3 linked regions of the Schizosaccharomyces pombe genome follow. The gene in region 3 interacts genetically with the main gene of each other region. Each region holds a gene or a part of one and is shown on either strand. Other genes may lie near its edges.

Region 1 (3,953 bases), on a different chromosome or scaffold from region 3:
CAATTCTATTGCTCGATGATTTTTAAGAGTGATGTCAAAGTCCGAGTGCGGCAAAAATAAGACAGCGTAGCTTTAGAAGTGATTTCGATGAATTTCACTCAAACGGAGGATTGCGACGAACAAGGAGCCGCAATGTCGTTTGTTCAAAATCGGATTTCTTGGTTCCGTGACATTTTGCAAATAAGCTAGAATCCATCTTCATACGACTGTGTCGTATTGAATGGAAATGGAAAACTGAAAGAATGGGTTCGAAATGGAAAACGACATTCTGAGGATGTTTGACAGAATCGGTTATGTGAACCGAAAGTGAATGTACGTGGTATTAGCGTAGAATTGTTTGAAAACTAAAATGGTGTTACTTTTTGAAAACTGTTTCGTTTGTAGTAGGTTGATGGTTGAACAAGACAAAACAAAGATTATTAAGGTAGCTTTAGATTCAGGGATGTTTATTATGACAGTGTTTGATTTGGGTAGGAGATTGACAGTTTAAGTATGGAAATAGGCATTCAATAGCATATTTGAATTGAATCACTAATGAACTCGACTCGCATTACTTTAACATTTTGTCATTTGTTGTGTAGAAGAGAGTTTGAGAAGACAAATCAAAGATGATCAAAGTTGGTGTTATTAAATAAATATCATGCCGAAAATACAGCTGAAATAAATATTATATACGATTTTAACGATGTGGTGCTAGATGAGGCTGAAAATCTGGAGGTAAAATCATGTATGAAATATATATTTCTCCACAATTAACAGGTATCTTGAAGCCGTGCAGGGTAAAAGTAGTAAGGCTGTCGGTCAACACGCCAAGGAATGCATTGTGCCATTGAATGACCATATTTTAATATTAGAAGGTTGTATTGATAGTATACGGAATGAAAATTAAATTATTAGGAAGAAACGGGAGTCGAGGTTATCGCAGTAAGCATATTCTCAAAATATACAATTTCGAGCTCTAAACAAACAATGATTGGCTTCCATGTATTGGAGTCAGCAATCTGTCTCGCCGACTCCAAAGAGTGAAGAGTCGAGGTCAAGAGTGATAATACACTAGTGCGCTGAACGTCAGTTAATGGAGGCAAAGCAGCTTCTGATAAAGAAGTAGGCCCCAGTATTGAGATTAGTTTTGTTTCGACAGCTTGGATTTGATGGATCAAACGTTGGAAGAATTGCATTCCTGGAAGTGCTTGCCCGACCATTAGTCGCAAAAGATCTTCTCTTTTCTTCAATACTTCCATCCGTTTTTCAAGGGAAGATACATTAGCATGTGCATCATACTGCTCCTGCAGAGTTAAAAGGCGATCTTCCATACTGAGTGCCTTTTTCTTTTCTAGATTATCATAAGTCTGGAGTCGTTTTACAAGGGTGTTTCGTTGGTTCGTTACAATCGCCAACTTTTCCTGCAAAATTTGAATTTCCTCATCTAAATGTGTAATGCTTGTCTTTAGATTCGATATTTCTTCCGCTTTGTGCACCTCTGCCAGACTTGCTTTGGTCGATTCAATTTGGGATAAAATGTCTGTCTGCGAGTCCCAACGGCTCTTCAATTTCCTTTGCTGGCTCCTATATAAATCAGCGTTTTCTTGACAAGCTTGACACCATAACTGCAACTGCTCAGCGATGGCTTTTCGAATCCTGGTCAAGTCGTTGGGCTGTTTAGATTGAAACAACACTTCAGCCAGCTCATCCAAAAGCGATTGTATTTTCCTTTCCACTTTTGGAAAGGAGCCACTTTCTTCCATATTGTCAAAAAGCTCTAAGCTACGCGTTCTTGTCGATAAGCCAGAAGAAGAGGTACCTTCATCATTCAGCATCCCTTCATTAGACTTGTTTGGGAATTCGTCTAGCGGAATATATTCTTGTTTCATTTTAAAAAGGTATAATACACGAAAAATCTAGTAAATGCGTAAATTTGGTAAGTTCAACCCTTTTTTCTTCATAACAGAAAATTATATCGCATTCAACATCACTAGTGTAAGTTTTTCGCTTTTTTTATATACGAATCTTTATTTTTTCAGTCTTCCTATCTTTTCAAGAAACCAATCCGTTCAAAATCACACTGTAAAATGTATTTCTTAACTATCAGTGTGTGCAAATGTCTATGTGCTATAGTGGAACAATGTTGAATAGTCGCGAACTTGTGTTTATGAAGCCAGTAGACCTTTAATAACAATTCAGACTTTCTCTATCTCAAATATTTTTTTTAGTCAACTAAAATTGCGTATTAGGAGCGCCACTACTATCATGAACTTCAGTCCAAATATTAAACTAAACTTACAACATCTTAGAGTTTTTGGCACCAAAAAAACTTTTGAATATCCTGTTGTGTCTATTATTTCAATTTTTTATTGTATTTCTATATGATTCAGTATATTTGTAGCAAGGCTTTTGATAACGTAAATATACGTCGCCTTTCATACACACATCCGAGTAAAAGAAAAAGCGACAACCAAAAGACGGGGAGACCAATAAATCTAGTAAAATCAAAGAAAAGAAATAATGAAGGTATATCCTTTCGCAAAGATTAAATGCAATGTTGAAATCCACGTGAACCGACCTTTAAATAACGCCAGGTTCCAGCCATGACTTAACTGACTCCATATATATATTAAAATAAGAAACGTTTAAAGATATGGATTATAAAAATAAGAAATACTCAAACGTGTTTGATTTGTAATAATAATCGACAAACACCAATAGGATTTTAGAGACTAGAAAGTTGAGCCCGACGATCAGAAACGAATAGTATCAAAAAATAGGAAGAGGAAAAGGTTCAAAAGTAGATTCTAATTGGAAAGCTTGCAGTCTAAACGATAAGTAAAATAAAAGAGGAAGAATGTACAAACATTAAAAATCACTATGATTATACTAAACTTCATTACTCAAGAACTCGAGATGGAGCCTCTAATGGATGCAACTGTGCTAAATAAGTAATTGCCCTAAGAACGATGTTAGTAAAAAAGAAAAACAATATGGATGCATAAGAACACCACAAATGCACTAACCATAATAAATAGCAACAAGAAAAAGTAAGAATTAATGACATCTGCCAAGTACTAATTGAGAGTTAATAAAACTTTTGTTAAAGGAAGGAGTATGAAAATATAATACAAGCAACTGATCCCAATTCCAGATTGTCCATGTGCAGCTGAAGACAAGGCCTAAACAGCGCTACCTTGATTGGTTGCAAGAAAGACAATCACATATACTTTTCCATATCTCTAAACGAAAATGAAACGAAGTAAAAACAAGCTACTGATCATAACACAAGACTTTAAATGGGAACATAATTGCTATACCTCGATATATAGATGATTCACTCCAATCAGTAGCAAACTTCTTACCTAGTATTATTTCCCTTGGGCGAGACATAGTAAGAAACTACACTCATTAAGGCCGTCAAAAGGCCGACAAGTAAAACAACGAGACCACCCATTAGAATGCAAATTACCTACTTTCAATAAATGTAACTTGCACGTTAATGGTAAATTATCGAATGTGCGTCTCACATGAACATATACTGCAAATTAGTGACACCACGCATAGATAACGTAAACATAAATCAGGTAACAATAATCATACAAAGGCATTAAAAAAATGCTTAACATAGCCTTCCAGTTATATGAATACGATCCTTGAATAAAAAAATGCTCTTTAATGCTAGCGGACATCATAAAGACACCCTTCCTCCATTTTTTCTTATGAATTCTATTTATGGTAACCCTCAATCCATTACGTTAAACTAAATATTTAACAAATTTACATTACCGTGTTTACTATAACGCATCAGTGTCAGGCTCCCAAAAATTCTGTACTTTCCAGATTCTTTGAATACTATTATGGACTGGTTAGTTTCAAAAGAGATTGTATTAATTATTTTCTTAACTTCAAGTAGTACTCGGAAATCATTCTTCTCACTAGTTTATAAAACCACCGAGCACTTATGCAGA
Region 2 (3,407 bases), on a different chromosome or scaffold from region 3:
TCGACATATTTTATTGATAAACGAGGCCCGGTTCCATGAACGGATCTAATATCATACATAGCATCTTCGCCATGTTCACCTATAAATCCCATTTTGTTAGTAATGTCTCAAAAAGCAAAGGAAATATGCTTACCTGGTAATTTCGATGTAATCTTATTCTGGAAGCGGTTCGCAGAATCCGACATCGAATGCAGTGATTTTTTTGTTGAGTCAAACATTACGATTAGTTTGAAATTGATTTCTCACAATTGACGCAAAAACCGATTTTACCCAAATGTTTGCGGTGGACAGCTTCCGACTCTCGAAATTCCTTAAGTCCGCTTTTCTAAGAGCCCATAGGGTAAACAACTACACAACGTGCTAGTAATATCAGCCAGCTGATAGGAAAAAATAATGTCTTTGAGTTCTTTTTGATAAAACATAACAAAATAGTAAGCAGCTAATAAGCTTCGCGTTTGTTGTCAATACTTACTATCAGAATTGCAGCATTGCTATTACGCTTGCTAAATTGGATAATATACGTAGAGTTCTATATTCATTCAATTGAAAACTTGTTAAAATCGCATTCTTTATGCGTATATTAGTTATACAACTATGGCTGTCAGAAAATGCAAACAAACTACCACAAGAAGTGATCCTTCCAATGATAAACGTTTATGTTAACAGAATGTAAAATCATTGCTTTTCAAGTAAATCTTATAAACACTAGATGTTGATGACTTTCATAAATAGAAAGTAGGGATTACAATTCATCTGTTCCGTCATCTTCAACATTTTCTTGAGACAACTGCCCAGATTTGATAATTTTTACATCTTCAAGAGGCTTATCACGGTTGTCAGTCTCAGCTTTGGAAATTTTCTTGACAATATCGTAACCAGAAAGGACTGATAAAATTAGTATTAGCAAACAAAAAAAAGGAAAAAGAAAACAAATAGTCACTTTTATAAAACATATACAACTACAATATGAATTCTTACCTTCACCAAAAACAACATGGTGTCCATCTAACCAAGGTGTTTTAACTGTAGTAATGAAAAACTGAGATCCATTGGAATCGGGTCCAGCGTTAGCCATGCTAAGCAAACCGGGACGTTGGTGAGAAAGCTTAAAGTTTTCATCAGGAAAACGGCTGCCATAAATTGATTTTCCACCAGTACCATCACCCTTCGTAATATCACCACCTTGAATCATGAAATTGGGAATAACGCGATGGAAAATAGATCCTTCATATCCAAATCCCTTTTCTCCGGTGGCTAATGCGCGGAAATTTTCGGCTGTTTTGGGAACAGTTTTACCAAACAATCCAATGGTAACTCTTCCAAGGAACTCATCACCTTGTTGCAAGTCGAAATACACTGTGTCTGTAACTTTGGGGCCACGGTTGGCAGAGATAAGCCCAAAGAAAAGAGTAAAAAGTAAAGAGAAATAGAACAACTTCATTTTTGTTTTCACAAACTAAAAGCTTCGTTGTGTGGTAAAGGATAAATAAATAGTTATGGTGGGGTTTAATAGCAAGACTCGCTAGATTTTGGTTGCTGTAGCAACTTTTAGCACAATGTTAAGCAAATAATTCAAGAAGCGCTTATTTGTTTACATCAAACACTACTATTTTTCTAATGGTTTGATTATTTAATGAAAGATAGAAATAGTAATTATTTGCAAAATTCTATTTCCTAACCTTTTTTGGAAGGTATTTACGTGTTAAGCGTGCTATTATTTATTTACACAACGTCTTTATTTCCATTCTTGCTTTTCTTCCTAAAAGAGTTGTGACTTTTGTTGTACCAAGGATTGAGTATATACCAATTATGGCTATCATACTATAAAGAAGTAGTAAAAATTCCTTTTGATTGTGTACTGCTTAAGATTCGTAAAGTATTTATTTATTACGAAATAAGGTAACTTATCATAGTATCATAAGATTGCTTCATATCTCTGTATACGTTACCCAAGGGTACGCTTATTTATCCAAGACCGTATACCACATAACTCACGCACCGTTTACAAAGAACACCGAATTTTGAAGCAATTGAAGAGAGGAGTTACTACTTCAAGCAAGAAGTTTGAGAGTTCTCATGCGTTCTCAATTCAAGGACGACTTTTCTTTTGGTATGTGTCAAAAACTTATAGAAGTTGTTTTTTGGACAGCATTGTAGAATACCTGGAACTAGTAGGCTAATTAATAATCAGAGAAACGAAAAACAGAGTCTCAAAGAATCCGGGAAAAATATCCCGATCGAATACCTGTAAGTAGAGTCTGGTGGTCAAAGAGAACAGGTTTCAGAGCAAAATAGTGGTGAATTGAACAACACCCATTGTTTTTGTCATCAAAAGTGAATCCATTGTTACAAGTCTGACCTTTTTCTTTCAAAAATACAAATTACGTTTTAAACTTAACTGCTAACTTAACAGGTTATTTGCGAGAAAGTTGATAAATCTGATATTGCTGCAATAGATAAAAAGAAATATCTCGTTCCATCTGACCTTACAGTTGGTCAATTTGTATATGTTATTCGCAAACGGATAAAACTTTCTCCTGAGAAGGCCATCTTTATTTTCATTGATGAAATCTTGCCCCCGACAGCGGCCTTGATGTCAACGATATACGAAGAGCATAAAAGTGAGGACGGCTTTTTGTATATCACGTATTCAGGAGAAAATACATTTGGAACAGTGTTTCCTTTTTAGATCAACAATTTGCCTGTTTTAAGATGGCCCCGCCTTCTTTTAATTGTGATCAGCAAAATTGTTTGTGGACAATGGTTGAATGATTCTTTATGTTTTTTTTACTCTGCATTTCTAGCTTTTTAGCTTTCAAGTTTCTTTGCTTTTGCATTATGATTATTTTACGCGCGTCTTATACATATCATTCTCAGGTTAGCCACCACGATTTTAAGGATGTTTCAGATTTGTCTTACAATAGATGTGATGAACGCTTATGACTAGTTTGCTTTGACAACAAAGTTATTTTACCTTGTTAATTAATAAAAACCATCAATTAAAAAAATTGATTTTGATTTTCTAATAATATTAAAATGTTGATAAATAATAAGTAGATATATATCATCAGCTGATTCTATCCTTTTTTACATTAACTGGTTGTCATAATAGCGAATACTATTCACATGCCCCAAAAAATTGGTCAATCGTAAACTTTCATAATTCAAGCAACAAGTGTTATAACTATATTTCAAAATAAAGCCCACTCCTGCATTTCAAAAATTTCAGTAGCATTTCATCACTGAGAATGCTCCATCTTTATCGATGGGCGGCACCTGTTGATAATAAAACTAATTTCTTCTTTTTTTTGTTTTTTGAGTTTTTGGAAGGTGCAGATAATTGAGCAACTTTGTCCCAGTCAACTTTCCAACCATCAAGATCGTCTTGATCATCGGTGTCATTTTGA
Region 3 (4,545 bases):
AAACATTAATGAATGATTAAAATTTCAGCACTTTTGGCTTGAGTCTAGGATAGCATAGTCTTGCTTATCAATATTATTTCGTTTACTGATGTTATATTTCTCTAGTATTACGCTCGTTGTAATTTGTTGGTTTTTTAAAATAGATAAATATTTTATGAATTTTTTGTGAAGTTATGTTGAGCAAAATAAGGATATCTTCAACACAATCGATTTTTAGAGATGGTTGAATGTTGATGAAATGGCGAAGCTCATTTTTATTATGAAAATAAAAAAATCAACGTTTTAATGCAAACCATCAGTACGATGTGTGGCGGTTCACCCCTTGTTAATGCTAATTTCCAATAAAAGTAAAACGAATAACTACGTAAACAAAAACGAAACCTCAATGATTTACAATTTATCTATTCAAATTATTACGACAAGGAAAATTACACTGCTTTGATATCTATGTAAACTTAACCAAATACCTGGTACTTGCGAAATGCAGAATCATACATCAAATCCATCTACTTGCTACTAAGTATCACTCTAAAATCTACAAACACGACAAAAACTAACAATCATTTTTTATCATTGTTAAACTTTGATGAAGGTAAGGGTGTCTTCTCCTGTTTCACTTTAAACTCGGCCAGCAAGCAAATATGATCACTAGGGAAGTGTGCGTTAGGGAAACCAACAACGCCGGAAAGATAATCTTTATCCACTCCTTTCAACAAACCGGTTACCTCCAAGCTATTGCCGGTGTACCAAATGTGATCAATGGCACCCTTAAAGCCAGGTGTATAGTTAGTGAAGGAGAGAGCTTCAGATTCACCATATGCAGATTTCAAATTAAATGCATGAGAACGTCCATTAACAGTGTATTCTCCGTAATCATTATTCATAAAATCTTCATGATTTTGGCTAATGCTACCAGATGATAAAAAGTCATAAACACCACTGCCTTGGACGGAATTAAAATCTCCACAAATTAAGATGGGGATCTTTAAATACTCGGGATAGGTAGGTCTTTCATCCTTTAACTGGTCAGAAGGAATCTTGGAAGGCATATTACGGAATTTTGTTGCAACCTGTGCAATCTCATCCATGAGCATTGCAACTTGTATAACCTTGACATCCCTAAACTGAGGATCCCAATGAATATGACAATTTGCAACGATCAATCGCGATCCATTTTCCTTATTCTCAAGAAGAGTAATCACACTAATGTTATCTTTAGTCATAACACGGTTGTACATGTTAGACGTTAGTTTAATGTCTTGCCTACGAAGAGATGGTGCTTGATTATATTCTATCACCATCTTTTCGTGCATGACATATTTAGATGTTTTGAAAAATGTAGCACAACCATCGACGATGCGACGTTCAACCTCATTCATAGTTCGTACGCGACTTTTCGGGAAGTGGACACCTTTATAACCTTTCAAACTCATTTGTGGAGCAAAAAAAGTATCATAGTTCTCAACATCAACTTCTTGCAAACAAATGATATCAGCATTATAACCACCTAATTCTTGCATGATTAAATCTTTGCGATACGACCAAGAGAGTGCCCATGAAGGAGTATAGCCATACAATGTGGATGTAGCATAACGTTCACAAAGCACATTATAACTCATAATAGTAAACTTGAGATTCTTAGATGTTGTAGAGGGCTTGTTAGAATCAGCAGCCGTTAAATCTCTAACAGAGGTTGAAACATTGTCATTAACATCATCATCATCATCGGAAACAAGTTTTTCCCATCCACGCTCAGGAGGAGGAGGGCCAACAGGGCAACCATCGCGCAAAGCAGCAATTAAACCTGCAGTACCACTTTCCATGATTTGATTCTTGTAAACGTCTTGAAGAGGATTACCTTCAATACCAAGAATTTTCAATTGGAAAAGGGTACCGAGTTCGGCAGGTATTACACTAATCATATTATCAAACAATAGGACTTCTCTAAGCTCAGTAAGTAAACCAAGCTCTGGTGGAATAGTTTTAATGCTGTTTCCAGAGGCATCCAAAATAACCAAATTCTTCAGTTTGCCAATTTCAGGTGGTAATCGGGTAAGATTATTATGGTTTATGTATAATTCAGTCAAAAAAGAGAATTTAAATAAATCAGTGCTCACATTTCTCAAACCAATACCACCAAGGTCCAAACAAGTCCAATCCCGTCTCTCTTTCTTAGAGTCAGATTTCGACTTTTGGTCATCAACCGCAACAGAAGAAGTGGTTGTTTTTGACGTACTGTTTAAGGTAGTACCACTGGAAGTGTTTAATGTTGTTGAGGTCGTCAATGTTGTAGTAGTGGAGCTAGTATTGTACTTTCCCCCTAACGAGGATAAGCCAGCAGCATTAGGGCCTCCGGTAAAAGCTCCAGTCCGAGCATTGTAATTCATCGAAAACCCAGGTCCTCCACTTCGTGCTAAAGCCGCAGCATTATGAGCTCGTTGGTGTGGTGAACTGAAGGACCTGGACTGAGTTGCAAGTGCAATTTGCTGTTTCCAATGTTCAGAAATATTACTATTTTCTAAAGCTGGCGAATTCTGTACAGATAATATTGCTGCATGTTGATGGTCTGGCGTCAACAGCCCCGGGTGCGCTCCTGGATAAATTGTACCTTGCGTATACCTAGGATTAAACATAGACGGTATCTCGCAAAATATCAAAGTCGAGATGAATTCTAATTTACAACATTCACTATATATACAATAAAAGTGAGGTTGTTGGTGAACGGCAAGAGTCGAACCCCGTGATAGCTTATAGGTGGGATACGAAAGCTCACCACCAAGATTTGAGACGAAAACTCAGTGTCCTGTTAATCGTTTTTTAGGTATATAATTGCATATGAATGCTTTCAATTAATTCATATTATTAATTTTTTTTCTAAATAATATAATTTAGGGTCCAAACATGAAATTATTTTAGCTTATGTTTAGCGCTGTTATGGTCTATGTAAATATTGGAGCTACTGAAAAATTTAATATATAATGTATCATCAGAAGTCCTTTATGAAGTTTATAATATTAAAAGCTTTTCCGGAACATCAAATATGAATTATTCAGCCTAATTTCGATTCCGATACATGGATGTCTCAAAGTTGTTAAAAGGCAGTTAGTTGTTGACTCATTATCGTAAAGTAAGATAATGTTTAATATTTAAATTAAATTTTTTATAATCTTTTTTTATATAATGCCAAATTTCTTAAAGTATGGACGGGAAGAAACATATTGAAGATCAAAAAAGGTTTATTTATCTAACTAACGCTTATTGCTAAGCAAAGGTTACGACGCGTAAAGGAGACATTAAATATAGGGGTTTGCTTCGTATAAAGAGCTACCATTTGATCCGGACTGTTTGAGAAGGTTAGTAAATATATCGATTCCATTACATTTTCTCATACCTTGTAGACCAATTGACTTCATTAAATGTGGATGTTTTAGCAGAGAAAGGTGTAACAACACTTCCCGTTAGAGAAGAAGAAACAGGATTGTTGTAATTAGTTTTGAAAACGTCCCAAGCTCTCACAGTACAATCTGACCCTCCGCTAACGAGGACCGTGGATTCGCGAGAAAATGACAAAGAGTATATGTTGCCTCTGTGACCTCGCATTGTCTTTATACGCCTTCCTGTTCCTATGTCCCAAAGGTGAATTAGACCTTCACTGTCTTTAATCAAATTAGTAAAATCATTAGTAATAACAAATGTATAACATACCAGCACTTGCCATAGTATGACCATCTGGGGCAATCGCAACAGCAGTTACCGGTTGGGTATGTCCATTAAAAACACGAACAGAATGTCCTCTATGTACATCCCAAAGCCTGCATGTTTTATCGCTTGATCCAGTTAGCACATAAGCGGAGTTTGGATGAAAGGTAACGCACTAAATACAAGTCAGTCATAAGGAAACACATTTCTTAAAAAAGATAATAATCATACGTCTACATCACTTAAATGCCCAGCAAAAACTCTAAGTGGGTATATATGATCACAGCTCCAAAGTTGTGCAGTCTGGTCATGAGAAGCAGTAGCGAAGTAATGACCAAACGGACCAAAGGCAACATCCCAAACCGGGCCAGTATGTCCCTTGTAAGCTACCAAAGCAGTTTTTGTGTCAACAGACCACAGCCGGGCGCTAGCATCTTCGGAACAAGATAGTAAATATTTATTATCGGGAGAAAATGTGGTGCCGTAAACAGGACCAGAATGACTCAGTAAACGTACTGAGCCATCTGAATCCTCTACAGAAGTTGACTTAGGTAATGATTTTTTGTCAGCCTTTATTGACCATAGCCGTATATAACTTTCTTGAAAACCACAGGCGATCATTGTGGAGTCAGGAGAAAATTCAGCACAGTTCATGTTGTTATTGGTGTGATGGAATGTGTACATACAAACACTAGGAAGGGAGGCTCTAGGTCCAAGATGTAATCTTTTACTCCAATCTTTCACAGCCTCAACTTCTGAAAGAATATCAACACCTTTATGAGGAGGAAGAGGGATATAATCTCTAGACGGAGCATCTTCAGCATTAGGTTCATGCAGCTTTCTAAA

The links.
Region 1: mutations in ccr4 (region 3) and SPOM_SPBC1685.04 together harm fitness less than expected from each alone (positive genetic interaction), as found in Schizosaccharomyces pombe (2 studies listed by BioGRID).
Region 2: mutations in ccr4 (region 3) and cyp4 together harm fitness less than expected from each alone (positive genetic interaction), as found in Schizosaccharomyces pombe (2 studies listed by BioGRID).

Annotation. Positions count from the first base shown.
Region 1 is NC_003423.3:500,791-504,743, reverse strand, and holds SPOM_SPBC1685.04 (uncharacterized protein), read right to left. Parts: upstream 2,081-3,953; 5' UTR 1,872-2,080; coding exon 894-1,871; 3' UTR 551-893; downstream 1-550. Other genes in the region: vma9 (V-type ATPase V0 subunit e), read right to left, coding at 2,882-2,942, 3,009-3,059, 3,348-3,439.
Region 2 is NC_003423.3:3,683,935-3,687,341, reverse strand, and holds cyp4 (cyclophilin family peptidyl-prolyl cis-trans isomerase Cyp4), read right to left. Parts: upstream 1,478-3,407; 5' UTR 1,442-1,477; coding exon 979-1,441; exon of another isoform or gene 886-978; coding exon 743-885; 3' UTR 551-742; downstream 1-550. Other genes in the region: SPOM_SPBP8B7.26 (uncharacterized protein), read right to left, coding at 1-79, 134-218; autophagy-associated protein Atg8, read left to right, coding at 2,077-2,110, 2,192-2,247, 2,414-2,689; rnf10 (ubiquitin-protein ligase E3), read right to left, coding at 3,260-3,407. UniProt on the Schizosaccharomyces pombe protein: PPIases accelerate the folding of proteins. It catalyzes the cis-trans isomerization of proline imidic peptide bonds in oligopeptides.
Region 3 is NC_003421.2:636,901-641,445, forward strand, and holds ccr4 (CCR4-Not complex subunit Ccr4), read right to left. Parts: upstream 2,724-4,545; 5' UTR 2,634-2,723; coding exon 561-2,633; 3' UTR 535-560; downstream 1-534. Other genes in the region: taf5 (transcription initiation factor TFIID subunit 5), read right to left, coding at 3,245-3,341, 3,392-3,656, 3,706-3,874, 3,931-4,545. UniProt on the Schizosaccharomyces pombe protein: Acts as a catalytic component of the CCR4-NOT core complex, which in the nucleus seems to be a general transcription factor, and in the cytoplasm the major mRNA deadenylase involved in mRNA turnover.